Linked DNA regions of Daphnia pulex. The main gene of each other region encodes a partner of the protein of the gene in region 3 in a complex. Links are inferred from orthologs where the notes say so. Each region holds a gene or a part of one and is shown on either strand. Other genes may lie near its edges.

Region 1 (2,948 bases), on a different chromosome or scaffold from region 3:
AAATGTTTCATGATATAATATTGAATTTTTGCGACAGTTTCATCTGCTGAAGGAGAACACAACGGAGGAGATTGGATGCAGTAAATAAAACAAAACAAAAAACAAAAAAATGAATAAAAAAGAAACAATATATATAAGAAATATATTGGCATCGCCTCTCCTTACACTTTTTCGTTTCCTTCCTGTGTTGGTTCGTTCAATCGATGGGAAAGTTCAAATTTTTCTAACGTATCTCTATATACTGTTGAATCAATGGAATTGTGAAGAAACACACGCAAATTCTAATTCTAAAATCTCTGTCCGACCTTCCCTTCAATTCTTTCTTCCTCCAGCTATTATACATGTAACTGCTATAATCTTCTTATTTTCACCCACCACTTTTGCCATCACTGAAAAATGGGGGAGAAAAAAAAAACGAATGCAACTCAGCTCCTCTTCCTATCCCTCCCGAATAAAAAACAAAAAAAGTGTTAAATGTAATACCATCAGCCACATGCATGTTCTTATTCACCCACGATCTTTACTATATTTACCATCAGTCATTTTTTATTTCTTACAAAATGGCGAGCAAAAGAAAAATAAAATAAAAATACAATGCGGGAAATGTGTTACCAGAAATGTTCGTTGTTCGCGTTTAAATCATTTCATCGGATCGGCTAAATCACTTTGATCAAAGTAACGACCGACTAGACATATGAAAAGATTGAGCTGGGCCAACAGCGGGTCGTCGACCGAGGTTAATTGAACTCGGAATGTGCTACACAAACGTGCCAGTGTTCTGATGAGGCTACACATTTCGGGTTTCAAAGGTTTCTCCAATTTGGCAAGTAGAGCGTAGAGCCACTGACCCCTTTGCTGAGTAAAATTCGTCTCCTCCAGCCATTGTACGTTGTACTCTAGTAGAGTCTCCACCATAAACTGCATCAACAGAAATAATAGTGTGAATGCTGAGAAGTAGGTGACTTTCATATACCTGGTTGAGGGATAAAATGATGGGGAGCATAGGTGGTGTTCCACAAGGCTTTTCATCCTCAGGGTTACCATAGCACAACACTGACCATTCCTTTTCTTTGTCTCCAGCAGGCTACAATTGGAAGGGATAATTAAGACCAAACTCATTTATCTGGAAGCCATTGCAACAGCAAAGATCTTACCAGGGTTGTATTCGGTTTCATTTGAATTCCTTGTTTTTTCAGCCTGGCCAAGTGTTTTGCCATGCGGCTCCTGAGGCAGGAAAACTGAGAGACTTGGAATTGTTGCCATTCTTTTGAAGGTAGGAAAACTTCTGGTGCAGGTGGGCAGCCAGAGTCCTGAATTTACACAGAAATGACAGACTAGATCAATAAATTTGAATAAAATGAAACTTACCGTAGTGTATTTGACAGTTTGGGCTTTGAGCTTCTTTCCTTTCATATCGGCAACTACAACCGCTTCGCATTTTCGCGATTCGACTCTATCCAAATAAACCGGCAGCATGAATTTATAGTGATACAATTTATTAACACACAAGTTTTCATGACTTACATAACTCTTCTCAAGTATTCTTGGCCTGTACTGGGCGCAGACTCAAAATCGATATCCTCGTCTGTTTCCTCGACGTAAAGCGCTTTATGGAGGAACTCATCCATGCCTGGAATTTCACAAATGATTTCAGTTGTTTGTTTTGAAGTTTAAGTTGTCGTCTGCGGTTCTGCGCCACTATTTGCTCAGACGCAAGCGACATCTACATCACTTTAATTTGTCAGCTCTATTTACTTAAAAATTTAAATTATTGCACTTACCTGTCATCTCACGATTCACGGTTAAAAAACCACCAGCAATTGAAAAATATAATTCAAATTTGAAAGAATTCAAGATTAATTAATTTCATGATTGCGTTATTCATAATTGGCAATGTTGCTTTTAAGTCAAAACATTGAAACACGAGAATTTGTTTAAGGTTTTTAACAGATGTTTTCTCACGCATATATGTACCCCTCTTCTTTGCATAGGGCATCTTGACTGTTAACGTGGAGCAGTCACAAAGATAACCTCCCCTTGCTCCATAGCTCCATAGTCTGCCCATGTTATTTTATTTTGTCAAGCCTTATTATATATTGTAAGAATATGTTGTTTAAAGCTTGTTTTTTGTCCCTCTTGGTTTACTTTTGCTCTGCTACAAAAGCTGATCCTGCCAATTCGTACGATATTCTTTACAGCCAGGCAGTAGAAGCATATCTAAATGAGCAATGGGATGAGTGCGTCACGCGTATGAACGAAGCCATTGAAGATTATCATTTTTACAAAGATGCTGTGGTGGGCTGTCGATTGGAATGTCTCAAGGAATCTTTTGACAAACCGTTGGTGTCTCCACAGTTGGAAGATATGAAATTATGGGAAAAGATGATAAAGAAGACACTTTGCTTACTGAAATGCAAGAAAGATATTTTGAAGAACCGTGCAGAAATTGTTGACCGTAAAGTTGCAGGTTAGACAGTCTTATCTTCATCAAATATGTTTTCTGTTTTTAAAAATTTTTACATTTTAAACAGATGATTTTGACACTTTGAAACCTTATGACTATCTTCAGCTTTGCTACTTCAAGGTTAGTATCCTACATCACATTTTCTTTATTATTTACTTAAACTTTTGTGTTTGGATTATTTCAGACCAACGATAATATCAAGGCAGCTTCCTGTGCCTACACTTTCTTAACTATGAATTTAAACCATACTGTGATGAAAGAAAATCTTAGATTTTTCATCAATGAATTGAAAGTGGATCCCAACTATGTCATCAACCTTGAAGCTAAACCCTATGTTGAATTCTACATTCGTGGCAGTGAATCCTACAAAAAGAAGGACTATGACAGAACTACAACCAACATGGAGCTTTCCTTGGTAGAATACTTGCAAGCAGAAGAAGAATGCAGAGCTCATTGTGAGGGTCCCTTTGATCAAGGCTGGTTT
Region 2 (3,498 bases), on a different chromosome or scaffold from region 3:
ACCGACTTCGAGGCCACTGCCGCATAGGATTTACCTAGCTGCGAGTCCATTCCACTAGGTGGCTCATTCTCCTTAGTCGGCTGCCCATCACCGAATAACCCATTCAAGAACCTATTTGCAATTTTAACCTTGATGCTGGTTAGCTCACTTTCTATCTCTTTAGTATGACTGATAATGCACTCTTTCTCTTGAATGAGCGTCTCTCTTTCCTCTTTTAAATCCTTTATTAGTATATTATCATGTCTTCTCTCGACATGTCGGTCAGAGAATTCTGGCTATTGTTCTGTACACTAAGTGTACGTTTCCGTTTCTCACCATTGGTGCCACCAATACTTGATCTAGGTCTAGAGTACATTATTTTACACACCTCAGAGCAATAAAGATGATTTCCCTGCCATACTCCCTCCTATACGACGGAAATTCCGTCGTATAGGGGGTATATATTACACGAGCGAAGAAAGGCAACTTGCGTCACTTATTGATCAAGAAAAACTGAAGGTATATTTTTTAAAATAATTTAATGTCGTAGTGAATAGTGATCTAGTAACCACTACTTTGCCATTCATTTAGGCTATCAAACGACCAGTTGGAATAGCTTTTATAACCTTCGCCTCAAACATTCAAGCAGCGAGGGTAAGCCAAGATCATAGGCCCAATTGGCGATGTGGATCAATCCCAGAAAGCTCGAGCCTGATTGTTATCTTTAAGCCTCACCGTTGGTCCGTTGATTTTGCTCCACGTCCAGATGAGATCAATTGGTAACTAGATTAAATTAATTAAGGTTAATTCAAGTTCTATAATTATCCTCTGTCGTATAGGAGGGAGTATAGGATTAGTCAAGCATAAAATAATTTCTAGTTCGGCTATACGCCACAGTGGTACGCATTGGCGTAAGCTTCGCACGACTTTTGGCTATGTCGCGTACTTTTGAATTGCAATAAGATCTATTCGGCTGCGTCAATAGTCAATACAATACGTGTTACTGATGTATCGCGAATAACGTTCAGGATCAGCGCAGTGTTAATGGTTTATTTTACGTTACGTTTTTACGGGTTTATACGTTAATGGATTATTGGTCCTGATTGATCTTGTCCATTCGGAACCGTTCCGAACACAGCCGCCTATTTTATAACATTTCCCAACACACCCGCTGTGGCGCGGTGTAAAGGATTGGCCGATCGCACGATAGATGGTGTTTCTGCTTCATAAATCTTTGATCTTTGATTTCCATTTTCCAACCACTTAAAACCTAGGAGAAACCTTTTTCTTAATTATTAATTGGAACATATCGAGAACAATAATATTAAATCAATTATGGTAACTATTGAGTTTTGTGCTTCATACCGAATCATCGAAGATTAATTTAATTATTTATTTATCTAGTTACCTTTGTCGCTACTACGTACAGCCCAGAATCATCCCATGGTAAGCATTTTTTACTTTTGTTATTTACAGCAATAAAACTAGTGTTTCAATATTTACAGTTAGTGGAATTGAAAAATGGGGAGACTTACAATGGCCACTTGGTGAGTTGTGATAACTGGATGAACATCAATCTACGAGAAGTAATTTGCACCTCCAAGGTAAAGTACTTTCATTTAAGATAGTTCCGTCATCTGTATCTGTCAGTGATATTCTTGAATACGATCATAAGGTTTTACATATAATATTTAATGAACAAAAATACAATTTCTTTAGGATGGTGACAGATTTTGGAGAATGCCTGAGTGTTACATTAGAGGCAGTACCATCAAATATCTTCGAATTCCAGATGAAGTCATTGATATGGTTAAGGAAGAAGTAGTTGCAAAAGGTCGTGGTCGCAGTGATGGTAAAGGAAGAGGTGGAGCCCAAAGAGGAGGCAGAGGTGGTAGTAGAGGTATGTTTTAAATGCCAAAATTTTCTCACTCATTATCAATTAAGTTAATGGGGTATACAAAACAATTTTATTCGTAGTCTTAATATTGTTTTAGTCATGAATATTATTGAACAAGTACCAAGTTATAACAGTATTATACAAAATTTTCTGATAATGGTCCAATGGGATAAATATAGTACAATCACTTAATGCTCAAATGATTGTACAATAACTAATGTATGTTTGACTTCTTGTTAATCTCATTATTCTAGAATCATGTTCAGTATATCGTAGCTTTATTTTTAAATTACGTCGTTTCGTGTCATTTGACGAATGAATAGCTAAACATCCTATCTGCACATTCAGGAATGCCTGCTCTTATGGTTTAAAAATGAAATCTATCTACTATGTAGAGGTTTATAATTTGTTTTTTATTGATTATTATTTCAAGAGGTACATGCCGCGTCTCTTACTTGAATACTGATAATAAATTAATTTTAATATTAATTAAAAATAGGAATTTATAAAATTAATTATTTAATCTTTTCACGTTTTTTTATATTTTATTTTAACCTTCCAAAAAAAGTTTACAGTTTAATGAAGTATAGTACTACCTAGGTAATGTTTCTCAGTCGTGTACATTATTATAACTTACATTATTTCCTTTTACTAAGCGTTAGCTTATCGCAGCTACACGAATGTGCGTCAAACTCAAATTAATAGTTAATGATTGATTGAATCGATGGGATTATTTTAATTTTATTATTTAATATTTTTATTTTAAAACATATAGGCTTCGTTGACGTATAATATGGAGCATGCATATTCCTATTGATATGATATAAAATTATTCTTGTGTTGACCATCAGGTTCTTTTGGTGCTTCAAGAGGTCGAGGCGCGCCGTCGGGACGAGGTGGTGGTGGTGGTGGTGGCAATAATAAACCCCGTGGAAAGTAAATAAACTTGTCAGAATGAATGTATGAAAATAAAAATATGGCCAAGTCTTGATTTATTCGAGACGCTTTCTGTTTTGATAAAAAGATGGAAGCACTTATCTCATTCTTTCTCTTCACATTAATTTTACATGCTTAAAATAAGCCCATAAAACCTTTAGGCTGAAATACACCAAGAAACTGAAATATTTAGAAGAGAAGAAGCCCTTGTGGACTTGTAATAACACGCTGCACCTTCAGCTGTTTTGCTGCATATTTCATAAGTCAGTAGGTGCGGCGTAGTAAGAGTGGATGTGTCGGATCGTTCGTTGCCAACTGGCAAAGCGACAGCGAAAATCGTTGTTAGCACAGAAGATTCAGATGCCCATTTTTAATAACGAATGAAAACAAATGTTTTGTTTTTGCAGAAAGTTCGGCGCGCTTAATAAATGTCAAATGTGTATACATATTTTGAAGCATGAAAGTTTTTCGTTTGTTATAGATACTTTCTGCGTTATAGATACTTTGAACTTGAATGCTCACCAAATTCAGTACAAAAGCAAAAGCCATACCACTAATTTTAGAGCGACACCATAATACATCTTCCATTTTCTCGCTCAGTTGCATTCGAACGTAAAATACAATTAGCTCGTAATTACGATTTAGTTCTTAATTATTTGTCAGACGTTTGCAATAGTAAATTCGCC
Region 3 (2,880 bases):
ATGAAGAATTGGGGCCTGCTGTATACAAAGCTGACCCAGCAGGTATATATCTAAAATAGGGTGTAAAGTTCTCAAATTGTATGCTTTATTGCTGTTTTACTTTTTTTTCAAGGATATTACTGTGGTTATCGTGCTACTTCAGTGGGTGTTAAACAAACCGAGGCATCGTCGTATCTTGAGAAGAAATACAAAAAGAAACAAAACTACACACATGATGAAGTTATCCAGCTTGCTATTACAACTCTGTCTCATATCCTAACTGCTGATTTCAAGCCATCTGATATTGAAATTGGAGTTGTTTCTAAGGATCAACCAGGATTTAGGTAAGAAAATGCGCAAAATATTTAAGTTTAGGAAATTAATGTGACTGATCTGATTGTTATAGAATTCTGTCGGAAACTGACATCGATAAGCATCTGACTGCAATTGCCGAAAAAGATTAAGTTTGATTTTGTAACTTTTTCTTTCAACATTGGAATAAAACGAGATAATAAAACACATTTTCCGCTGTTCGATTTTTTTATTTCATACAAAAGTGAGAGATAAACACATACAATTATTTTGCTCCAGGAGTACCAGCCAAAGGATTTCTTAATACTAATATTACAGAATCTCCACGTAGGAACATTTTGGAGATAAAACGGTCCTTGTTGACTGGTTTGCTCTATAAAATAAATATACAACTGTCACTGTTGATAGATGAATGAATGAATGCAGAAATAGTGAAAATTACCTTCTTCTTTCCTTTCCCTGTTCTGGGAACTTCAGTCCACATTTCCTTGACATTTTCTAGAACCATATTGCAGTGACGGTCAAAAGCTTTAACACGTCCCAGTAGCTTTTTGTTGTTACGGCAGTTGATCAAGACCTGAGTGTTGTTTTTTACACTCTGAGTCAAAACTGAAAGTGGTCCAGTGTTGAATTCTTCTTCTTCCCGTTTGGCCAATTCCTCCGGTGTCATCTCCGACTTGGGTTTATTTGCAACAGCCCTATGGAAAGAAACATTTATTATTTAGTGCTCATACGAAACTGTCAAGTAGAGAAAAATCTGCAGACACGGAACACTGTAACTAGCTGAAAATATAGATTTAAAAATTTTCTATTTTGAAATTGAACTTAAGCTTTACTTACGCCATGATAAATAGAAGGATGTAAACGGATAGAGAAATATTCTTTGGAATATTTTTGAGCCCGGCTTCGTTTAACTTTTCAAACCGTTATTCACTTGTTTTTCGTAAACAAAACGTACATGCTGCGTTGTCATATTGTATTAATTAGCATTAGACGGTTGATGCTATTTTATGTCTTATTTGCGATTTAATTGCCAAAAATTGTTTTTTAATGTTGACTTACATTTTTAAGAGACACGTTTCAATTTCTAATAATTGTTGTGAAAAGAAAAGAATGAAATTTGCCAAGAAAAACATTTACAATCCCAGACGTCAGACGTCTGGGACTCTGTACTGGAATTCGTTTTAGTCGAGAGGAAAGGAAATACAAACCTCAGAAAGTAGAGTCAAGAGAAAACCGAAGCGGTTGACAATTGTCAGCCGACAGATGTTATGTTATGTAGCATAGCTTGTCTAATGCCATATATGGACATATTCCCCCCGTATGCACAGACTATTCTTTCTCATGGTCCCCAATGGAGAACGCTTTCCAGCGTTGTTGATAAGTCATCCTGAAACGGCGAAAACTTTCGAATCACGCTGTTATCGGCTGTTCATTGTGCGAAGGCGATCTATGGCAATTGAAACTTTTTGGTCTAAATTATAGAAACAGAGAAAGTTGTCGACACCGGTCCCGAGAGTTTCAGATTTTTAATACATAGGGGAGGGGAGGGCAGATTAGAGGGAGGGGAAGTAAAAATGTGAGTCATCGATGTCTGCCCATAAAAGGTCATCCTCCCCGAGAAACTGAATGAAAGAATAAGTGTGCAACTGGCCCAATAATTTTTTTTTTTCGTTAAAACACTCATGCGAGATGCACACCATTTATTAGGAAGTCGGAATGATCATTTAGAGTCGGCAACTTTTTGCTCAAGCAGAAAAATCTGCGAGTAGAGGATTTTACAGAAAAAGTTACTTTTCGTAACTCTCTCCAGGTTTGTGGTTTGGGCTCCCCTTTTTCGGGTTAACAAGCGCCCGATATGGACAACCAATCAGAGAATGTGCAACCAGTACACACAAAATTCTCTACAATCGGCATCATCCTTCAATCGCTAAGCAAGCAGAGACCCCTGGCGGTTACCCGAATTCATTTAACGACATTTGAGATTTTACATAACAGCAAACAGAATAAGAGTCATACAAATTATTTTTAAAATGATAAATGATGCGCCTATCATTATATGTTTTATTTGTGATAAATTAGTGAAGTTTGTAATATGGTTCGAAATAGGCATCGTTTGACGGCGCTGTATTCCACCCCCAGATGACGCGCTTTTCTGGGTGTGGACTGGGTAGCGCCAAGTTTTCTCAAGTTTGGGGAACAGCCGCCATTTTGCAGTGCGAGGTCCCGGCCGGTGTAGAGAAGTCTACTCTGAGTTTCCCCTCTTCTTTCGCCGCGCCACGAGTAAAATCTTATCGAGGGCATTTTCTCTCTCTCTCTCTCACTCGCACCACTCACTCCCCCCAGTGCCGTCTCATCCCGCAGTCATTCGGGTTGATCTTTCAGTTTAGGCGTCTTTGAGCTTTGCGTGAAATTTTTCTAGACTTTTTTCTTAGTCCAAAATGGTGAGTAACGTTGATATTGTCATGTCGTTAGAAATGTGTTTGCTGTATACGTGTGGAATTCTTCCAATTTCTGTCCCAAAGTCCTCGATTCAGGGAGAAAAGTTCTATCCTTGTGTGTGCTTAACTGACGAACGCGGCAAGGCTT
Region 4 (3,733 bases), on a different chromosome or scaffold from region 3:
GTCAGTAAACGGGCTTCACGGAAAGTTTTCGAGGTTTGCCTCCATTCTTTTTAACTTTTTCCCTGGAATTGATTTTAACTTTTTTTTTCTCTTGTTAAATTTGTCAATAGGCGACAGAGTGGAAAGAAATCCTTTGCTTCCTACTGAGCAATACGGACAAAGACGTGCAATATCGAGGAGCTGTTATCGTCAAAAACATCGCCAGTCATTCGAAAGAGTTGGCCGAAAAGTTGTTGCAACCTGAGGTTATTATGGTCCTGGAAGTTCTCACCAAATTCGGTAAAGAGGATTAAGTTAAAACTTTTGACATGGTGCCTTGAACTAATCTTTTTTGTAACCCATTTGAATCCGCTCTGCACACAGAAACACCTGAAATGGCCAAAATTTGCGACTGCGCCAAATCAACCCTGGAAATCGCCGAGCAATGGAAACTGATCGAGAAGGAGGACGACTCTGAAGATGAGTCTTGATAAATTTTAATGAAATGATTTAAACAAAAATTAAATTGTGTGCCTATGCAAATTCACTCGTTAAAGTTAAATACACTTTATACGTCAATTGAAAGCATTATTTAAAAAAGAAGGAATTACAAAATAATGTATTCTTACACGTGAATGGTAGGGGGAAAAAATAAAGATGATCTTATCCTCAATCGCTGTCATCATCTGAATCCGTATCGTTGGCCACGACTCCTTCGTCTGCGTAGTGAATGTGCTCAATCTCCGTAACGGGCTCCTCCACATCTGCTGTTGCTCCCGTAGGTTTACCAGTAGTGCTGCCAGACGGCTGCATAATCAATTCCAAGTTGTTGAGCTCCTCGTCGCTGTCTGCTTCCTTGTAAGTTTTGCCTTCTTCCTCCAACTTGAGCCGCTCGATGAGGCTCTTTGCCGGGTTAAAGACACCAAAAGTTTGTTTGCCGCAAACAAAACACCGCTGCGATTTGCGGTAATGTTTCAAGGCGCAGGCCTCGCAGAAATAATGCTTACACCTGCCGTGTCAAAATTTGCGTTAAATTCTCCTTCTTATAAATGAATAGGAGAGAGTCTTTATTACTTGGAGACAACGGGATGTTGGAACGACTCGCGACAGATGAAACACTTGAAGGGCAAATCTTCGTCGTCCGAGTGTATTTCATACTTTGAGTCGTCTTCGGCCGGCTCACCTTTTCCCCTTTCTTCTCGCTCCAACTGCCATCCGAATTTATAATCGGAACGGTCGTGCAAGAACTTACAACTGTCTAATAAAACACAGCAAAGCTTTATAAAAGTTCAACTGAATGATGATAATAACCCCAAAAACTTTTGGTTAGATTTTGAATACCTCCGAAACCGCAGAAACCCGTTTCCTTGTAATCTTTACAAAGATCTGGTTGGTAATCCCATCTCACTGTTGACCTGATGTTGGCTGGGGCTCGCATGGGGCCTTTTCTCACATTGGCAGATGCAGCATTTCCTTGGGCTGTATCTCTTTTCTCGTAGTACTGGGCATAGTTAGCAAGGCCACGATATTTCTTGTCATCTGCTTTGCCTTTCAGCTCCTGCTGGACTGTCAAAGAAACAAAACATTATTTTGGTTCATTTTAAATAAAAAAGTTGACCTACTTTGTAAAGATTTCTCAAAAATTGTCCTGGCATCTTGATCGACGGCAGTGTCGATCTGAACTGTGGAAGTGGCAAGATCGTCTTTCTTGTTCTCAGCACTTCTGTCAGACTGGAAGACGACTGTGACCTTTTCCTTGACTTCCTCATCAGAGCTGTTTTGGATTTCTTGACGGGACTTTTTCGTGGATTTGAACTGTCAACCCCAAAAGAAAAAAACACGATGAGAAACACAAATTCTTTTTGCAGAGACTTTCAATAACTCACAGTTTTAGCCGAAAGAAGTCCAGCCGATTCCTTTTTCCCCACTCGAGCAACAACAGTTTCATCTTCGCTGCTGCTTTTCTTGTCATCATCAGCTTTTCTCCTCATGGCGGCTCCTCCTCCTCTTCGTTTCTTGAATGTAAACGTGCAAACTTTATTGTCGTCGGCCATTTTTGTTTGTTTGTGGATTTTCTTGTTGGATCAAGCTTTCCTTTTTTGTATATAAAAATGTATTTTGACTTGTCAACAAACGAGAACAATAAAATAAAAATCCTTCCGTCTTCTCGTCGTCGGCTTTTCAAAAGGATTACCGGTGCACTGTTGTCTGATTCCTCTAATTGGGTTCTTGATGACTGATTGAATACGCAGCAAGGGATCTGCTGCAGATTTACATATATATGCACAGCAACAGAGACTAGTACATAGAGAACTATGCACACACACACACACAAAAGCTTTTATTATTGTGATCCAGATTTGTCATCTACGATGTCGGTATTAATGATCCGACCCCGAAAACCCGCTTGAGACTTTGAATATATCTTAACGTCATCCGTTTCTACTACTACTACTACGGGTTTTGCTATTTTGCATTTGTTTTGGAAAAATAAAATCGACATATCTTATTGCTTTACATCATTATTATTAGGCATCGTCGTCATTTCTTATGGTCTTCTTCTAATCATTTCCATATGCCTTGGTGATTTATTTTCCTTGTGCAAATGAAATGGATGGGGGGAAGAATCACGTTACTTAAAAATCTCTGGCGACTCGATTACACACAGGCAGTACAAAAAGGAGCATCCTTTCATTAATTAGTAGGTTCCCCTCTAATAATCTGGTGGCGTGTATATATGTATAGATGTGCTCGGCGCATCACAGAGTCTGAGGACCTTCTTCTTTCTTCTCCTCGAAATAATAATACGCACTATATACGCTTCTGCTGGCGATCAATTAGAAAAGACTGCCGAAGCTTTTAAGAACCTTTTCGCCACATATGACTGAATAATAATTCTATTTTCTTAATTCCCCTACCCAATTTTTATTAATTTTTTTTTTCTGGGTGGGGCGGCGGCCACTGAACTGTTATCTCCTCTTCGTTCGTCTACTTTTTTCTTTTTGCTGGTTTTTGGGGGCTTGTTCTCCGCGGGCCTCTTTCGTCTTTGCCCGATGTCGCGCTTATTATTTCTATATCATCAGCAGACTGCTAGCTGCTGGGGGCCGTTCGCTTGATGATTCCCTTACAGCGCCTTAATTAGCCCAGCACTTTTCATCAAGTTGAAATAATAAGGAACGCGCAGGCCAGAAAACCCGGCCGCAAAAGTGCACGAAGCGCTTCACCGTCCGATGAAAAGCTACTTGATCTCCATCCTCCGACTCCATTTATACACCTATACTGCACTACAATATCTATACCTATTCATTTAAAACAAAAAATATTTTTATTTCGCCGTACCGTATAAGTAATTTTTCGGTCAAACTTGTCGCTGACTGAAAAGCCCATCTAGCCAAACTTTGACTTCCTCCTCCAGCAGGATTGGCACATTGACTTATTGCAGCACAGTTTTGCAGATATACCGTTTCGTTCTATGCAAAGAGGGGAGGAGGCTATAAATAGGGACTCAATGATAGATACATGTTATGCATAAAGCGAGGGCCTATTTATACAGAAGCTGAATGATCCAGACAAGATATATAATATCCACATGCTACACTACTATACACGTATAAAAGGGGCTTTTGAGAGAAGGGCCAGCACGGCAGCAGGATCAATCCTTTACACAGCACACACAAGTTACGCGCGCGTTCTAATGGGGCTGCTGCCCTTTTATGAAGACTTTTCGCTCTATGTTCTCTATATGCAGTTTCAG
Region 5 (3,869 bases), on a different chromosome or scaffold from region 3:
CTTCTCCTTTTTGAGAAGTTCCTCATTTTCTGCTCGGATTTTCTTTAATTGCTCCATTTCTTGCCGGTCAATCTGGCGTTGGGAACGCCGCTTAGGTGAAGGTTGGCGCGTTGATCCACCACCACCACCTATACCCGTCGAAACGCTATCAGAACTATCAACTTCAGAACTCATCGCACTGTCGGCGTTTCTCGAGTTACTAATTGCCGGGCCATGCGCAGCTGAATAACAATGGTCAAGTGAGATGGACGCAACAGCCTCAGTGTCATCCGGAGCTGGATAGAAAAAACAATAATATAATCTAGATACACTTACTACTACTACACAAAGTTATTTGGCAAACCTCCTGTAAGTTCGGGATCAAGCAGGTCATCTAGACCAGCTTCTGGTGGGAGAATATTGTTGAAAAAAGCCCCAGCTTCTGCTTGTAATGCATGCTCAATTTTCTCGATCTCTTCCTGATCAAGAGCTAAGAGTGGATCTGTTGTTTCTAAAACTTGCTCACTAATTTTTGGCCCTGCTTTGACATTTCCATTAACTTGAGCAATTTCCTGGTCAGTTTCCATCAATTCTTCCTCGTTTTCCTTGAGTACAGGGCTAGAGACTGGGTTGAAATCTTCTTCTACAGTTATGTTGACATCAGTACTGCTGTCACCTGCAACATCATTGACTCTAACTACGCTTAGAGTTGTATTCTCTTGAGAGCCTGAAAATAAGGTAAATGAATAAAAACATGATTTCCCTCCAAAATGTGACGACTTACTAAGAAGTTGAAGTGTTTCCTGATCAACTGATATGTCACCAGTGTCATTATCAACAATAATGATTAGTGTGTTTCCAGCAGAGGAGCTATCGTCTGTGGTATCTGCCACAAAAGTACTCGACATGCTGTTGTCGAATTTGTAGCACACTTGTATCTAAATGTCAGTAAACGAGTAATCCAAAACGCGTCACTTATTGACCAGCTCGGAACGGCCCACTATCAAAGTTCAAACCAAAGCCACTAAAAACTTCACCCGATTCTATGGGCAACCACAAGCCCAAAACTTTTTTGTTGACAAACTTTGAAACTCCTGATTGCATCAAAATACACATAAACACCAAGCCGACTCATGGCTAGATGCCGCCATTTTGCGTTTTTTTTATATAAATCAATTTCAATGTGCCATGTTGCCGGCGACGCTTCCAATAGAAGCCATCTGGCGTGAATAATTACATCTTCTGTTAGTCACTAACAGATGGCGATTTGATCAGTACGTTAGACAACGCCGGCAACAATCGAGTACAAACCTCATGTAAATTTTGATTTGGTTTCGTTTTTACAATATAACAACAATCATGGGAGAGGTAAATTTTGCAATTAAAAAAATTATGAACAATTTCTAATTTACAAAATTTCATATCTCTACAGGATATTCAGAAGCATTCCGTGCATACGCTAGTGTTTCGATCACTGAAGAGAACCCACGACATGTTTCTGTCAGAAGAGGGTAGTCTACCTCCTCTTGATCAAAAAGCGTGTGTTGAAATAACTTTACATTGTTTCAACGTATTAAGTAACTCAATTCTATTTGATTATCTAGAGTGTCTGCCTGGCGATCATCAAAAGCTAAAGATACGTATGGTCCAATAGTTGAACTGGTCAGGAAACAACAAGAGATAGCGAAAAAAACAGGGCTTCCGGTAAATTACCCTGGAGGACAGCTTGCTCTAACTAACAAATCTGGTAATTTATTTTCCCCTATATTGATTGGAAATATGTATTTTTAAGTGGAATGTTTATTTTTTTACAGAACAAGATGGAGAGACCAGCCAAGCTTTGGCTCTTATGCCTTCAGGAACAATCGGGGGACATCAGATGCCACAATCTTCAGCAAATGTATCAACTGTTGGTATACCAGGCTATGCTGCAGGTGAGAAAAATATGCAGTCATTGTTTTCCCATCTATTTACTAAAAAAGAATCTTATTAGGTGGACCCACAAACAATACACAATCTTTAATAACCCGTAAAGCCCCAACAATGCCCAAGCCACAGTGGCATCCACCATGGAAACTTTGTCGTGTTATCAGTGGTCATATTGGTTGGGTACGCTGTGTAGCTGTTGATCCTACGAATGAATGGTTTTGCACAGGATCTGCTGACAGAGTTATTAAGGTAATTTATTCCTTACATTTATAAGAGTCAAGTTTTTCATTTTGAAATTCTTATAGATTTGGGATTTGGCCTCTGGACGGCTGAAACTTTCGCTTACAGGCCATGTCAGCACCGTCCGTGCTCTTCAAGTCAGCCCAAGACATCCGTACCTTTTCAGTGCTGGTGAAGATCGACAAGTGAAATGCTGGGATTTGGAGTACAACAAAGTAGCCATCACCATTTCAATTTACCGTGTAAGAAATATTAACAAAATCTTTTTCAGGTTATCCGGCACTACCACGGCCATTTGAGTGCCGTTTATAGTATGGCCCTTCATCCAACCATCGACGTTTTAGTAACTTGTGGTCGTGACTCTACTGCCCGTGTTTGGGACATGCGATCCAAAGCAAACATTCATACCCTAACTGGCCACACCAACACCGTAGCATCAGTTGTTTGTCAAGCAGCCGAACCTCAAGTATTCAAAGCAGTTTTCGACACTCATAATCCAGAATTTTAATTTTACCTTTCGAAACCATAGATTATTACTAGTAGTCATGACAGCACTATTCGATTATGGGATTTGGCGGCTGGCAGATCAATGGCTACTTTGACGAATCACAAGAAAAGTGTCCGGGCAGTGGCAATGCACCCTAACCTGTATGAAGCTAACCCATTATTTCACAACACATTGAATGTACAATTAATTTTAAAAAATTATGTTGCAGCTACATGTTTGCATCCGCCTCGCCGGATAATATCAAACAATGGAAGTGCCCCGAAGGCAAGTTTATTCAGAATCTTTCGGGCCACAATGCCATTCTTAATTGCCTTGCCATCAATGCTGACAACGTAATGGTATCGGGTGCTGATAACGGATCACTCCACTTCTGGGATTTCAAGACTGGATACAATTTCCAGCGCTCACAGGTATAAATGCATTTAGTTGAAACTGTGTTTTGAACGTTTCTTTAACTGTTCCTATTCAAATTTAAGGCCCCCGTGCAACCAGGCTCAATGGATAGTGAAGCTGGAGTATTTGCCATGGCCTTTGACCACAGTGGTTCACGTCTCATAACGGCCGAAGCAGATAAAACTATCAAAATCTACAAAGAGGACGACGAAGCTAATGAAGAGACACACCCCATCAACTGGAAGCCCGACTTATTAAAACGGCGTCGTTATTAACTCGCCATCTCCTGTACCGTACAATACAACTTGATTTTTAAACGATTTGTTGGCGCAAACTTGTATTATTACTTCAGTAATGTGCTGAGTTATTATGCGCTTATGGATTATTTATATTATGGATAGCTCGGGAATCCCAAGCTATCCCGAGTCGGGATAGCTTTAGCTTGTCAATTATATAATCACTGATTTCAGCGTGAATGTTTTAGGCAATCAAATAGTGATGAGGTTCTTAGCAATTTAGAATACCTACTTGAGAATAATTTAGGGTCACTCCTTGTTTGTGATAACGTATTAGCTTTCAACAAGCAGCCAAATGCCACACGTAAAGAACGAGTACATAAAAATCTTCTGGTTTTCAATTCATCCCAAAATGTAGTTAGAAAAAATATTGTTAAAAAATGTTAAGACTAGTCAAAGAAAACCTTTTGCTTCGTTGCATAACATTTAATTATTTAATTTACAAAGCTCACGTTTTCACGCGGTCTTAAATTTTGAAACACTGTATTTTGGCGGGAAAAATGGAAGGGAAACCGAGAACCCTG
Region 6 (4,197 bases), on a different chromosome or scaffold from region 3:
AGTGTGATTAATTCGTAACAATAAATTGAGATGACCTGATACGGGCGTCTATTCTTTTCACAATCAAATTTTTCCTTTTTGTAGCAACAAACAAATTAACTATTGATAGACAGGATCACTCGGAACGCAGCGGACTAGAAAAATGACAAGAATGATTTGAAAAGGTAGGAATATCGTAATGGCAATCCCAATTGCGGTTATTTTGGCGAAGAGGGCATCGACCGACTTCATCATGCTCGAGACACAATCCTGTAAAGTGAGAATTAAGTTTAAACTAAATTTAATGTAACTGATTAATAATAATATTTAATTACTTCTTGGTATATATTCTTCAGATAGGAAGTGTCGCATCCTGATTTAACGCAACAGGAATCAGGAATGAATGAATATCCTGCTACGCTGTTCCAGTCCTTGTAGCTATCAACGCCACAACACTGGAACTAAACCAAGCGCTTTATCACGTCAGCCGACTAATTTCCAAGTAAACTAATTTACCATTTGTTGGGTGATATCCATTCCAGTTTTCCCACTTCCGTCGGGATCGAAATACATCATTTCGCGCATAGACTCTCTAATGTCTTGCTTGACTTTAGTACCGAAATCAGGACCGAACGCCACCAAAAGTCCAACCATGGCAATGAACAACAGTACGAGGAAACCTGCATACTGTCAAGTGTCAACGTCTCTTTAATACGATTCACTACGGATACAGATAGGGAGAAAGAAAATTATTTTTATTTTACTCACTATGTAGTAAAAAACAGAACTGCCGTCAATAGTGAAACAACAGTTAAGCGTCGTCATAACGATCAGTATGACTCCTATGACAACAGCAAGACTTCCGATTTTCAATTCAGCCGAGAGTATGGATGTTAGCCGAGTAGATTCTTCAGCTAGTCCAAATCCAAGTAAACACATTCCGAGAACCTACCATGTTTCGTAATAATTACTTGTGTCACTCATTGATTGCAATGAGTTTTCGTAAATAATAAAGAATTAAGCGTACCAGTAATAGAACATTTATGAACAAATGTAGAAATGCACAAGCGAAACTGCATCTTCCGGTCTCCATATTGCTCACTGAAACTCTGGAACATGACAAACAATATCAGCCTACATTCACACATCTATCGACGTTTATGAGCGTAAGCTATTCTTCGAAATAAGTGACGAATTCCTTTTGACGCGCACATTTCGAACAAGGTTCGTTGATTTCTGATTTGATGAGGAACAATTCGAGCTACCCTTGGAAGCGGCCAAGAATTGTTTTATTTTATGCAACACGAAGGATCGCTCATGATTCATAATAACGAATTTTTTCTGAGCGTTATTTAAAGAATTATTACAACTTCTTAACTTATCCCATCTCAAAAATAAATTATGTAATATCTGCTTTTAGTAAGGTTTACTGTTTAGCACCACCTTTGTCGTCTGTGCACGTTGTTTTGAAATTGTTCGCACATGGTGCGTATATGTAAGATTTAGTTTTCAACTTAAAGAAATTGTACAAGTTAAACTTGTAGGATGACAGAAAATAAAAAAGAGATTGTGATTCCTCCATCTCCAAATTGGTATCTGAGTGGTGCTTTTGAATGTCACAAAAAGTCTGGAGTATTAGTTTATGCTGCTTCGCGATGCCTCGTCTTTGTGAAATCTTGTAATGTAGGAGATAATTTCAGTTATCCTACAACTAATGTCATCCCGGACGCCCACAGGAATAAAATTACTTGTTAGTTTAGCATAAACTTCCTTAGGTTCACTTTTCAATTAATCGGTTTTGTTTTCATATGAAGGTGTGTCTTGGTATCAGCCCTCAGAAGAGAATAATTTGTTGCTGAGTAGTGCTGGAGAAGATGGTTCTATTTGTATATGGAAATATAATGATTTGAGTCTTGTATTTGAACAAAATGCACATCAGGTAATATTTGTAAAACATATTGTCAAGCTACAAATCTAATTTGACATCTTTTTCTAGGAGCAAAAAATTTCTTGTCTAAGTTGGTCTTCTCTACTGGATAAGAAAATCTTGGCATCATCAAGTGAAGATGGGACCATCATAATAACAGAGCTACTATTGAGCTATGAGAGTTGCAGCACTCGGAAGCTCAATTATGGGAAAATAAACCCTCTTATGCTGTCATTCAATCCCCACATTCCATGGCAGCTGGCCATTGGCTGTAAAGGTGGATTGCTGTACATATGTGATGTTAGAGGTAATGATTCAGTACTTGCTCTAACATTATCATGATTTTTCATCACACATATCATTGATTTCATTTAGAAAACCGTGGTATAATTCATAAACTGCGAGCTCACGAAGATGTAATAAGTTTAACCAGTTTTGCGTTTTCCCATGAAGTGTCGTCATTAATTCACAACAAATTCTTTTAGGATCTACACAACATCGTTTGGTGCCCTTTGAAAGGAAATGTATTTATTTGTGAAAAAGAAAAGAAGGAAACATTCTTGGCGACTTCGGGCCGAGATAAAACTATTAAAATCTGGGCCACTAACGAAGGAAAATGTGTCAGCCAATCAAAACTTCCTGGCAATACTGGAGTCCATCGCCCTCGGTCTACTCAGGATGATAAACGTGCGACCTGGGTAGCCTTACATTGGCTAAACGAAAAACATATTTTGAGCAGTGGACTCAGTGGTGAACTTATCTTGTGGGAGGTCAGAATTTTAAGTTAAATTTTTATTTGCATGAATTTAATCAATTTGTTTTGCTGTAGGTTGGGCCCAAATTGTCTTGGAAGATCGTTCACAAGCTTCACAGCCGTGGACTCTTCAATATTTCTTCATACATGACTGGAGAAAACCAGGAAATGATTTGGACTTCGGCGCAGGATCGTAATGTTATTCTTTGGCCCATAGTGGAAGGCCACGTACCAAAAGAAGTGTTAGGCATTCAAGAAATGGAGAATCCGCATCTTTGTATGCCAACCATGGGTGGTTTCATCTACGTCATGAATATCAATCCCATCGATTCATCCCAAATGGCTGTGGGATTGGGAGACTGCTCCATCAGACTATGGAATATGGCAGCTGCGAAACCTGACATGATGATGCTGTGGAATGGAATCAAAGGTGATGAATATATAATCTACTTATGCAGTATAGAGAGTAAAATTGCAATTCAATCATAACAGGCAAAGTGAGTGGATTAGCGTGGCATCCGACAATAGAGGGCCGGTTGGCATTTGGAACCGATGAAGGACGCGTAGGAATATTTGACACACTGTCGCTAACTAAACCACCTCAATTGAGTCGCACTTACCACAAGGGTACCGTATACAATTTATCCTGGGCTACCCTGCCGTCTAAGGAAGGGATATTCCTCTACTCTTGTGGTGGGAACAACATTATGGTTCACGATCCATCAGCATTAGATACGGAAGCAAAAAATTTCAATAATTTGATCGCAAGCAAAGGAGAAAAAAATCAAAAGTTCCCTTCGCGTACGGAATTTCAATGGAAAGTGGACTTTTCTCTTCTAGCCGTAGGCAACGAAGACGGTTCTGTGGAAATCTATTCAGGCGGCGATTTATCTTTGCTAACGATTATCGTTGCGCATAAAAAACTTATTCAATGCCTTAAATGGCATCCGCCATTCACTTTCCAAAGTGTGGAACCTTCCAAATTTGAAAACTGGTTGGCAGTGGCTTCAAACGATGTGAACATCAAAGGTACGTGTAAATTTTAACTATCTTGACCCCTTTTGTTTTATTGACTGACTGACGCCTTTTTACTTTTGTTCCAGTTTTTAGCGTCGTCGTTGCCAACAACGACGAACCCGCAACATCCACACTTGCGGCTACTCTAAGCGGTCATAAAGAACGTGTGGTGTCGGTGGCTTGGAGCCCACATGAAGATGGAAAGCTTCTTTCTGCCAGTTATGATGGAACCGCACAGGTAAATCATTCTTAGACTTTTTAATTATACCCTTTTATTTTTACTTGCATTTGCAGGTTTGGGACGTGATCAACAAAGAGCAAGTGGCTAATTTTGGTGGCCATACCGGAAGATTGCTTTGTTGCGAATGGAACGCATTAGAACAGGATACGGCCGTTACAGGAGGAGACGACATGACTATTCGAATGTGGAAAGTTAAAGAACAAGTCTACAAGACACCTGCCGAATCTATTGCAGTCAAAACGTTGAAGGAACGAAAGAAAATACCATACAAACCCCCTC
Region 7 (4,247 bases), on a different chromosome or scaffold from region 3:
AAAAAATTTTCCCGATTGTTATTTGACACATTCCGAACAACCAAAAACACCGAGAAGATTTATTACTAAAACGAAAGGCGGATGAAAATATTAAATATCTTCTTCATCTCATCTTCCATGTTCCTGCACTGCTTCTAGTTGAAGATTCCGTTAACAGCCAGTGATTGCAGAGCAGCTACAGACGCCTGGAAGCCCGCGTTATAATCGCAAGCTACTTCGTTCGTAACGAAATTGTGTCTGTCATCTACGTAATGGTCATTTTGGTTATCTGGGCCACCAATTAGAGCTCCATAGAGGATCTGGGGATTAGGATTGGGTGAATCAAAGGCATCCCAATCGCAAACGGCGGGCCTATTCGGACATGAACTGCAAAAAGACGAAAAATTAGAAATGTGTATAATATTTCTGGATATCTATTGTATGAACAAGAAGCTAAAAACACGAACCTGGACGCATGATGTGGCTTCAGTGGTGGATTGTGCCCGAAACCCACGACAAAACTACGGCCTGTATCTCCAAGTGCATAATGAATCTGCTGTTGCGCCAGTTGGCGATACGCCAATGGATTGATGTTCAGATCGGCAGCCTACGGAATAAGTGAATAATATATTAATATATTAGTTTAACGTATTTTTAATCACCAGGCGTAAAATTGTGAATATAATTTTTTTTTTAAATACTTGAAGACAAATGAAAGCGATATTTGATGCGGCGCCTAAAGATCCCCACTTGGTAACAAATAGGAGCCCCTTTGGCGTCTTCGGTTGTTCAACTTTGGAATCACAGAAAGTTTTCGCTGCGTTTCTGTAGAGGTTCTCATTTGTCAGTTTGGCCAACAGAACCTATATGAATTAAATGGCATTAACGGAACAATAATTAAACAAATATAACTGATTTACCTGTACTCCGGCAGTTTTCGTATCCCATGAAAATTCCGATGGATTATCGGAGAGGTTGAAATCGGTGTAAAATGCCTTAGCATCGTCGAGGTAAGCGTTATCGTTAGTAGCTCGGTATAACCAACTAGCGCTCCAAGCCAGTTCGTCACCGAAACCACTTGACCTACAGGCAATTGTGATATTATACCGGATACACATCAAACGCAACAATTTTATTAAATTTAAAGCTTTTACGAATAAAAATCTGCTACTTGTGGGATGGACTCGCTGTATATTCCTCGATGTCGTTTAGCAAAATCGTACAATTGCTTTGCATGTGTCAAGCAAAGAGCTGAGTAAGTGCTGTCGACTGTTTTAAAAACTATTGAAGTTGCGGCAAGTGCGGCAGCTGTTTCACCGGCCAAGTCAGACCCTATCGTGCGCAATGTTGTGTTATTTCTTTGAACGACAATATAATTTAAAAACAAATTACCAGGTTTTGAGGTAGATATAAAAAAAGCCTAAAGCGATAGAAATGTAGTTTTCAGTCGATGAAATAAATGAGTTTAATAATGGGTCAGGGCTTTATACCGGTCGTTTCATGGTCATTTCTTCGGGACGTCCCCAGTAATCGTGATCGAGATCGCCATCGCCCACTTGCCCATAAAATTTGTTAGTTTGCACATGGGCCTTGATAAAGTAATCTGTCGCCCACTTGACCATATTTCGAGCTGTTGTTAATTTCCCTGTATTATTTAAATTAATCCAGTAAGTTTAGTGATCTGATTCAACGAGAAATTGGTTTAAATTTTTAAAACCTGCGGAAGAATATCCAAGCGGATAATCAATTATCGACCAAGCCACTATCGTTATAGAACTGGCTAAAGGAAAACCGAGTTTCAAGTGATCTCCAGCTAAATAAATATGGTAAAGAATTTCAAATACTTTGATGGAATAAAATAGAATACAAATAATAGTATAAATTACCATCGTAATAGCCTCCAGTGAGATCTTCTCCGTCTTGTCCACGATCGTTGAGCGCCGAGTCTGAACGATACGGAATGGGGTTATCGTTTACTGGCAAGCGCCCAGAGCGCTGGGCATAGTAGAAGAGCAATGATTTGGTGATTACTTCACGGTAATTGTATTTAGTCGGCCAGGCATCCACTAAAAGGTTGTTCTCCTAGAAATTGCTTCATTTAGTACAACTTTTTCCATTTTATGCCAAAGAATTAAAATTTATTACTTCTTCTATTATCGGTTGTCTAGCCTCTGTTTTAGTGTCTTGGAAGGACATAATAAAAACAAAATTTAACCAAAAATTCTCTATTATTACGATTAATAATTTAGTTACTTACCAATTAAACAGACGTTGTCTCCGTTAAAAAGTACGCTTGTAATAATGGGTGTGGTGCTGGAACTAAAGAAAGCATTAAAACCGACACTCGTCAGTGTAGCCCCAGCGCTCTGAACTCCGTTAGAACTGAGGTTTCTCAGCTGATATTCCACTTCATTAATCTTAGACTCTGTAGCGTCCCAAGCCTTTAAAAATAAAAATATTCAAAAATGCTATCTATGATGTAACAGGAGCGTGTCATACCTTTAACCATGGAACGGCCGATGAAAATTTCAGGTCAATTTCCCATGAAGTGATTGGAGTCGTAATTGAAATATTAAGCGAGGCAGTCAAGCCTCCCGGCCAAGATGAGCTAATTGTGACGACATTATCGCACGGTCCTCCTATTTATTATTTTGATTGGTGTATTTTTCAACTCTATAATCATGTTAAATATGAGGAACCACACGGAAGAATATTTACCGGAAGCTAGATGCATGAAAAGAAGAATAACGATGAAGCCGGATAAAGACAACATTCTCGGTAGTAAGTTTGCTGGATTCTCTGTCAGCATCGTTCGTCCCGCTCGCCTTTTTATACTTTACATTCGGTCAAAGCATACACGGCACAGACTCAACTCTTTTACGTTATTGCATATTACTTCACAATAATTAAAAAATAACGAAAATACAGTTGCGTAACAAGAATACCATCACCATATTAAAACCATTTTAGAGGAAAAGAATTACTTGAGCAACGCACTGGTATTAGGAAATACAGGACCCATTCGATGGAATGCATACTCACACTACCAGTTTCAAGTAGATTTTATAATATGGATGACGCACAAAATTCTTTTGTTTAGACATTTTTAAAAATTGTCTTATTTTTTTCCCGATGGAACTATAGCCTTGATAACTACGACTTCTTTTGCACGAGGAATTTCAGCGAAATCTCTTTACGGGTTTCTTCGCGGAAAACGTAGTTACGCTTGTTGCATTTTTCGATTTCTATACATCAGTTTATCACCCCCTGTGCGGATTTCAGATGTTCTTGTTTGAAACCAATCAACTTCGACGCTAGATTAATGACTAGCCTATTGTGATGTTTGGGAACTTGGAAATCAATTAGGTGTGGAAATCAATTTATCAACATCTTCTATTGAATTCAGCAGTTGCATAATTCAGGTTTCAGATTGAATGAAACAACACGCGAGCTACCACCTTTACCTTGAAAAGGACATCGAACTCAAACGTATTCCAGACTTTCCTTATACTCTTTCAGATTAATAGACGATTCTTCGTGACATGCGCATCGGTTGAAAAGTTACCAATAGTTTGAGAAATGTATCACCAAATTTTATTTAACTTTTCAAGAACACACAAATGCAGGCGTTTTTTAACCTTTAGTAATAAATCCCATTTCCAAGAAAACCAACAAGATCAGCAGTACTGTAGCAGATAACCATGCAGAATTAAGAGTAAAATATACTTTCTAAAATGTAGGTATATAATATAGTTGTGTAACAAATTCCTGTCTTATCTTGTAAATTTGTATTCTAGTTGAAAACACCTTGGACAGCCAATGATTGCAAAGCAGCTACAGATCCTTGGAAGCCGGCGTTATAATCGCAAGCTACTTCGTTGGTAACGTAATTGCTCCGATCATCCGTGTAATTGTCGTTGCTATCTGGACCACCAACTAGACCTCCATAAAGCACCTGGGGATTGGGTGCAGTTGAGGAATAAGTGCTCCAATCACAAACAGCTGGTCTATTCGGACATGAACTACATAAAAAAAAATAAAAACATTAAAAAATAATAATGCTATCATATTTATAAGCACAATGTTTTATTCAAACCTGGACGCATGATGAGGTTTCAACGGCGGATTAACTCCAAAACCCACGACAAAACTACGGCCTGTATCTCCAAGCGCATAATGAATTTGTTGTTGCGCCAGTTTGCGATACGCCAATGGATTGATGTTGAGGTCAGCCGCCTTTTGAATCGGTGTAAGATTTAAGACTCAAA

Evidence for each region.
Region 1: small nuclear ribonucleoprotein Sm D2 (region 3) and gem-associated protein 2-like share a complex: the UniProt entries of both Homo sapiens proteins name them as parts of the SMN-Sm complex. The link is inferred for Daphnia pulex from reciprocal best matches to the Homo sapiens genes SNRPD2 and GEMIN2.
Region 2: small nuclear ribonucleoprotein Sm D2 (region 3) and U6 snRNA-associated Sm-like protein LSm4 share a complex: the UniProt entries of both Homo sapiens proteins name them as parts of the U4/U6-U5 tri-snRNP complex. The link is inferred for Daphnia pulex from reciprocal best matches to the Homo sapiens genes SNRPD2 and LSM4.
Region 4: small nuclear ribonucleoprotein Sm D2 (region 3) and E3 ubiquitin-protein ligase RNF113A-like share a complex: the UniProt entries of both Homo sapiens proteins name them as parts of the minor spliceosome. The link is inferred for Daphnia pulex from reciprocal best matches to the Homo sapiens genes SNRPD2 and RNF113A.
Region 5: small nuclear ribonucleoprotein Sm D2 (region 3) and pleiotropic regulator 1-like share a complex: the UniProt entries of both Homo sapiens proteins name them as parts of the minor spliceosome. The link is inferred for Daphnia pulex from reciprocal best matches to the Homo sapiens genes SNRPD2 and PLRG1.
Region 6: small nuclear ribonucleoprotein Sm D2 (region 3) and gem-associated protein 5-like share a complex: the UniProt entries of both Homo sapiens proteins name them as parts of the SMN-Sm complex. The link is inferred for Daphnia pulex from reciprocal best matches to the Homo sapiens genes SNRPD2 and GEMIN5.
Region 7: small nuclear ribonucleoprotein Sm D2 (region 3) and pre-mRNA-processing factor 6-like share a complex: the UniProt entries of both Homo sapiens proteins name them as parts of the U4/U6-U5 tri-snRNP complex. The link is inferred for Daphnia pulex from reciprocal best matches to the Homo sapiens genes SNRPD2 and PRPF6.

Annotation. Positions count from the first base shown.
Region 1 is NC_060025.1:2,087,193-2,090,140, reverse strand, and holds gem-associated protein 2-like, read right to left. Parts: upstream 1,705-2,948; 5' UTR 1,629-1,704; coding exon 1,525-1,628; intron 1,454-1,524; coding exon 1,369-1,453; intron 1,311-1,368; coding exon 1,155-1,310; intron 1,085-1,154; coding exon 974-1,084; intron 919-973; coding exon 640-918; 3' UTR 501-639; downstream 1-500. Other genes in the region: endoplasmic reticulum protein SC65-like, read left to right, coding at 2,107-2,467, 2,532-2,584, 2,649-2,948. UniProt on the Homo sapiens protein: The SMN complex catalyzes the assembly of small nuclear ribonucleoproteins (snRNPs), the building blocks of the spliceosome, and thereby plays an important role in the splicing of cellular pre-mRNAs.
Region 2 is NC_060026.1:5,482,078-5,485,575, reverse strand, and holds U6 snRNA-associated Sm-like protein LSm4, read left to right. Parts: upstream 1-1,169; 5' UTR 1,170-1,314; coding exon 1,315-1,317; intron 1,318-1,383; coding exon 1,384-1,425; intron 1,426-1,484; coding exon 1,485-1,583; intron 1,584-1,698; coding exon 1,699-1,879; intron 1,880-2,727; coding exon 2,728-2,816; 3' UTR 2,817-2,998; downstream 2,999-3,498. UniProt on the Homo sapiens protein: Plays a role in pre-mRNA splicing as component of the U4/U6-U5 tri-snRNP complex that is involved in spliceosome assembly, and as component of the precatalytic spliceosome (spliceosome B complex).
Region 3 is NC_060018.1:305,102-307,981, reverse strand, and holds small nuclear ribonucleoprotein Sm D2, read right to left. Parts: upstream 1,525-2,880; 5' UTR 1,354-1,524; intron 1,285-1,353; exon of another isoform or gene 1,253-1,284; 5' UTR 1,137-1,252; coding exon 1,132-1,136; intron 990-1,131; coding exon 734-989; intron 665-733; coding exon 557-664; 3' UTR 501-556; downstream 1-500. Other genes in the region: proteasome subunit alpha type-6-like, read left to right, coding at 1-42, 113-323, 386-443; cofilin/actin-depolymerizing factor homolog, read left to right, coding at 2,733-2,735. UniProt on the Homo sapiens protein: Plays a role in pre-mRNA splicing as a core component of the spliceosomal U1, U2, U4 and U5 small nuclear ribonucleoproteins (snRNPs), the building blocks of the spliceosome.
Region 4 is NC_060022.1:4,929,451-4,933,183, forward strand, and holds E3 ubiquitin-protein ligase RNF113A-like, read right to left. Parts: upstream 2,258-3,733; 5' UTR 2,034-2,257; coding exon 1,866-2,033; intron 1,795-1,865; coding exon 1,602-1,794; intron 1,546-1,601; coding exon 1,321-1,545; intron 1,238-1,320; coding exon 1,054-1,237; intron 989-1,053; coding exon 649-988; 3' UTR 501-648; downstream 1-500. Other genes in the region: protein unc-45 homolog B-like, read left to right, coding at 1-33, 111-279, 364-470. UniProt on the Homo sapiens protein: Required for pre-mRNA splicing as component of the spliceosome. As a component of the minor spliceosome, involved in the splicing of U12-type introns in pre-mRNAs. E3 ubiquitin-protein ligase that catalyzes the transfer of ubiquitin onto target proteins.
Region 5 is NC_060021.1:1,388,871-1,392,739, reverse strand, and holds pleiotropic regulator 1-like, read left to right. Parts: upstream 1-1,221; 5' UTR 1,222-1,338; coding exon 1,339-1,347; intron 1,348-1,411; coding exon 1,412-1,518; intron 1,519-1,583; coding exon 1,584-1,726; intron 1,727-1,793; coding exon 1,794-1,913; intron 1,914-1,972; coding exon 1,973-2,157; intron 2,158-2,213; coding exon 2,214-2,363; intron 2,364-2,419; coding exon 2,420-2,614; intron 2,615-2,677; coding exon 2,678-2,796; intron 2,797-2,864; coding exon 2,865-3,066; intron 3,067-3,132; coding exon 3,133-3,324; 3' UTR 3,325-3,369; downstream 3,370-3,869. Other genes in the region: death-inducer obliterator 1-like, read right to left, coding at 1-275, 344-706, 764-887. UniProt on the Homo sapiens protein: Involved in pre-mRNA splicing as component of the spliceosome. Component of the PRP19-CDC5L complex that forms an integral part of the spliceosome and is required for activating pre-mRNA splicing.
Region 6 is NC_060024.1:12,897,181-12,901,377, forward strand, and holds the start of gem-associated protein 5-like, read left to right. Parts: upstream 1-1,397; 5' UTR 1,398-1,524; coding exon 1,525-1,729; intron 1,730-1,793; coding exon 1,794-1,918; intron 1,919-1,975; coding exon 1,976-2,213; intron 2,214-2,281; coding exon 2,282-2,322; intron 2,323-2,391; coding exon 2,392-2,676; intron 2,677-2,735; coding exon 2,736-3,090; intron 3,091-3,152; coding exon 3,153-3,689; intron 3,690-3,763; coding exon 3,764-3,915; intron 3,916-3,971; coding exon 3,972-4,197. Other genes in the region: CD63 antigen-like, read right to left, coding at 100-249, 315-440, 496-666, 748-927, 1,007-1,072. UniProt on the Homo sapiens protein: The SMN complex catalyzes the assembly of small nuclear ribonucleoproteins (snRNPs), the building blocks of the spliceosome, and thereby plays an important role in the splicing of cellular pre-mRNAs.
Region 7 is NC_060027.1:3,689,252-3,693,498, forward strand, and holds the start of pre-mRNA-processing factor 6-like, read right to left. Parts: upstream 2,801-4,247; 5' UTR 2,789-2,800; coding exon 2,698-2,788; intron 2,619-2,697; coding exon 2,479-2,618; intron 2,421-2,478; coding exon 2,237-2,420; intron 2,163-2,236; coding exon 2,125-2,162; intron 2,062-2,124; coding exon 1,866-2,061; intron 1,793-1,865; coding exon 1,697-1,792; intron 1,625-1,696; coding exon 1,470-1,624; intron 1,400-1,469; coding exon 1,372-1,399; intron 1,312-1,371; coding exon 1,134-1,311; intron 1,063-1,133; coding exon 900-1,062; intron 843-899; coding exon 681-842; intron 587-680; coding exon 447-586; intron 367-446; coding exon 216-366; intron 1-215. Other genes in the region: endoglucanase 12-like, read right to left, coding at 3,773-4,001, 4,076-4,215. UniProt on the Homo sapiens protein: Involved in pre-mRNA splicing as component of the U4/U6-U5 tri-snRNP complex, one of the building blocks of the spliceosome.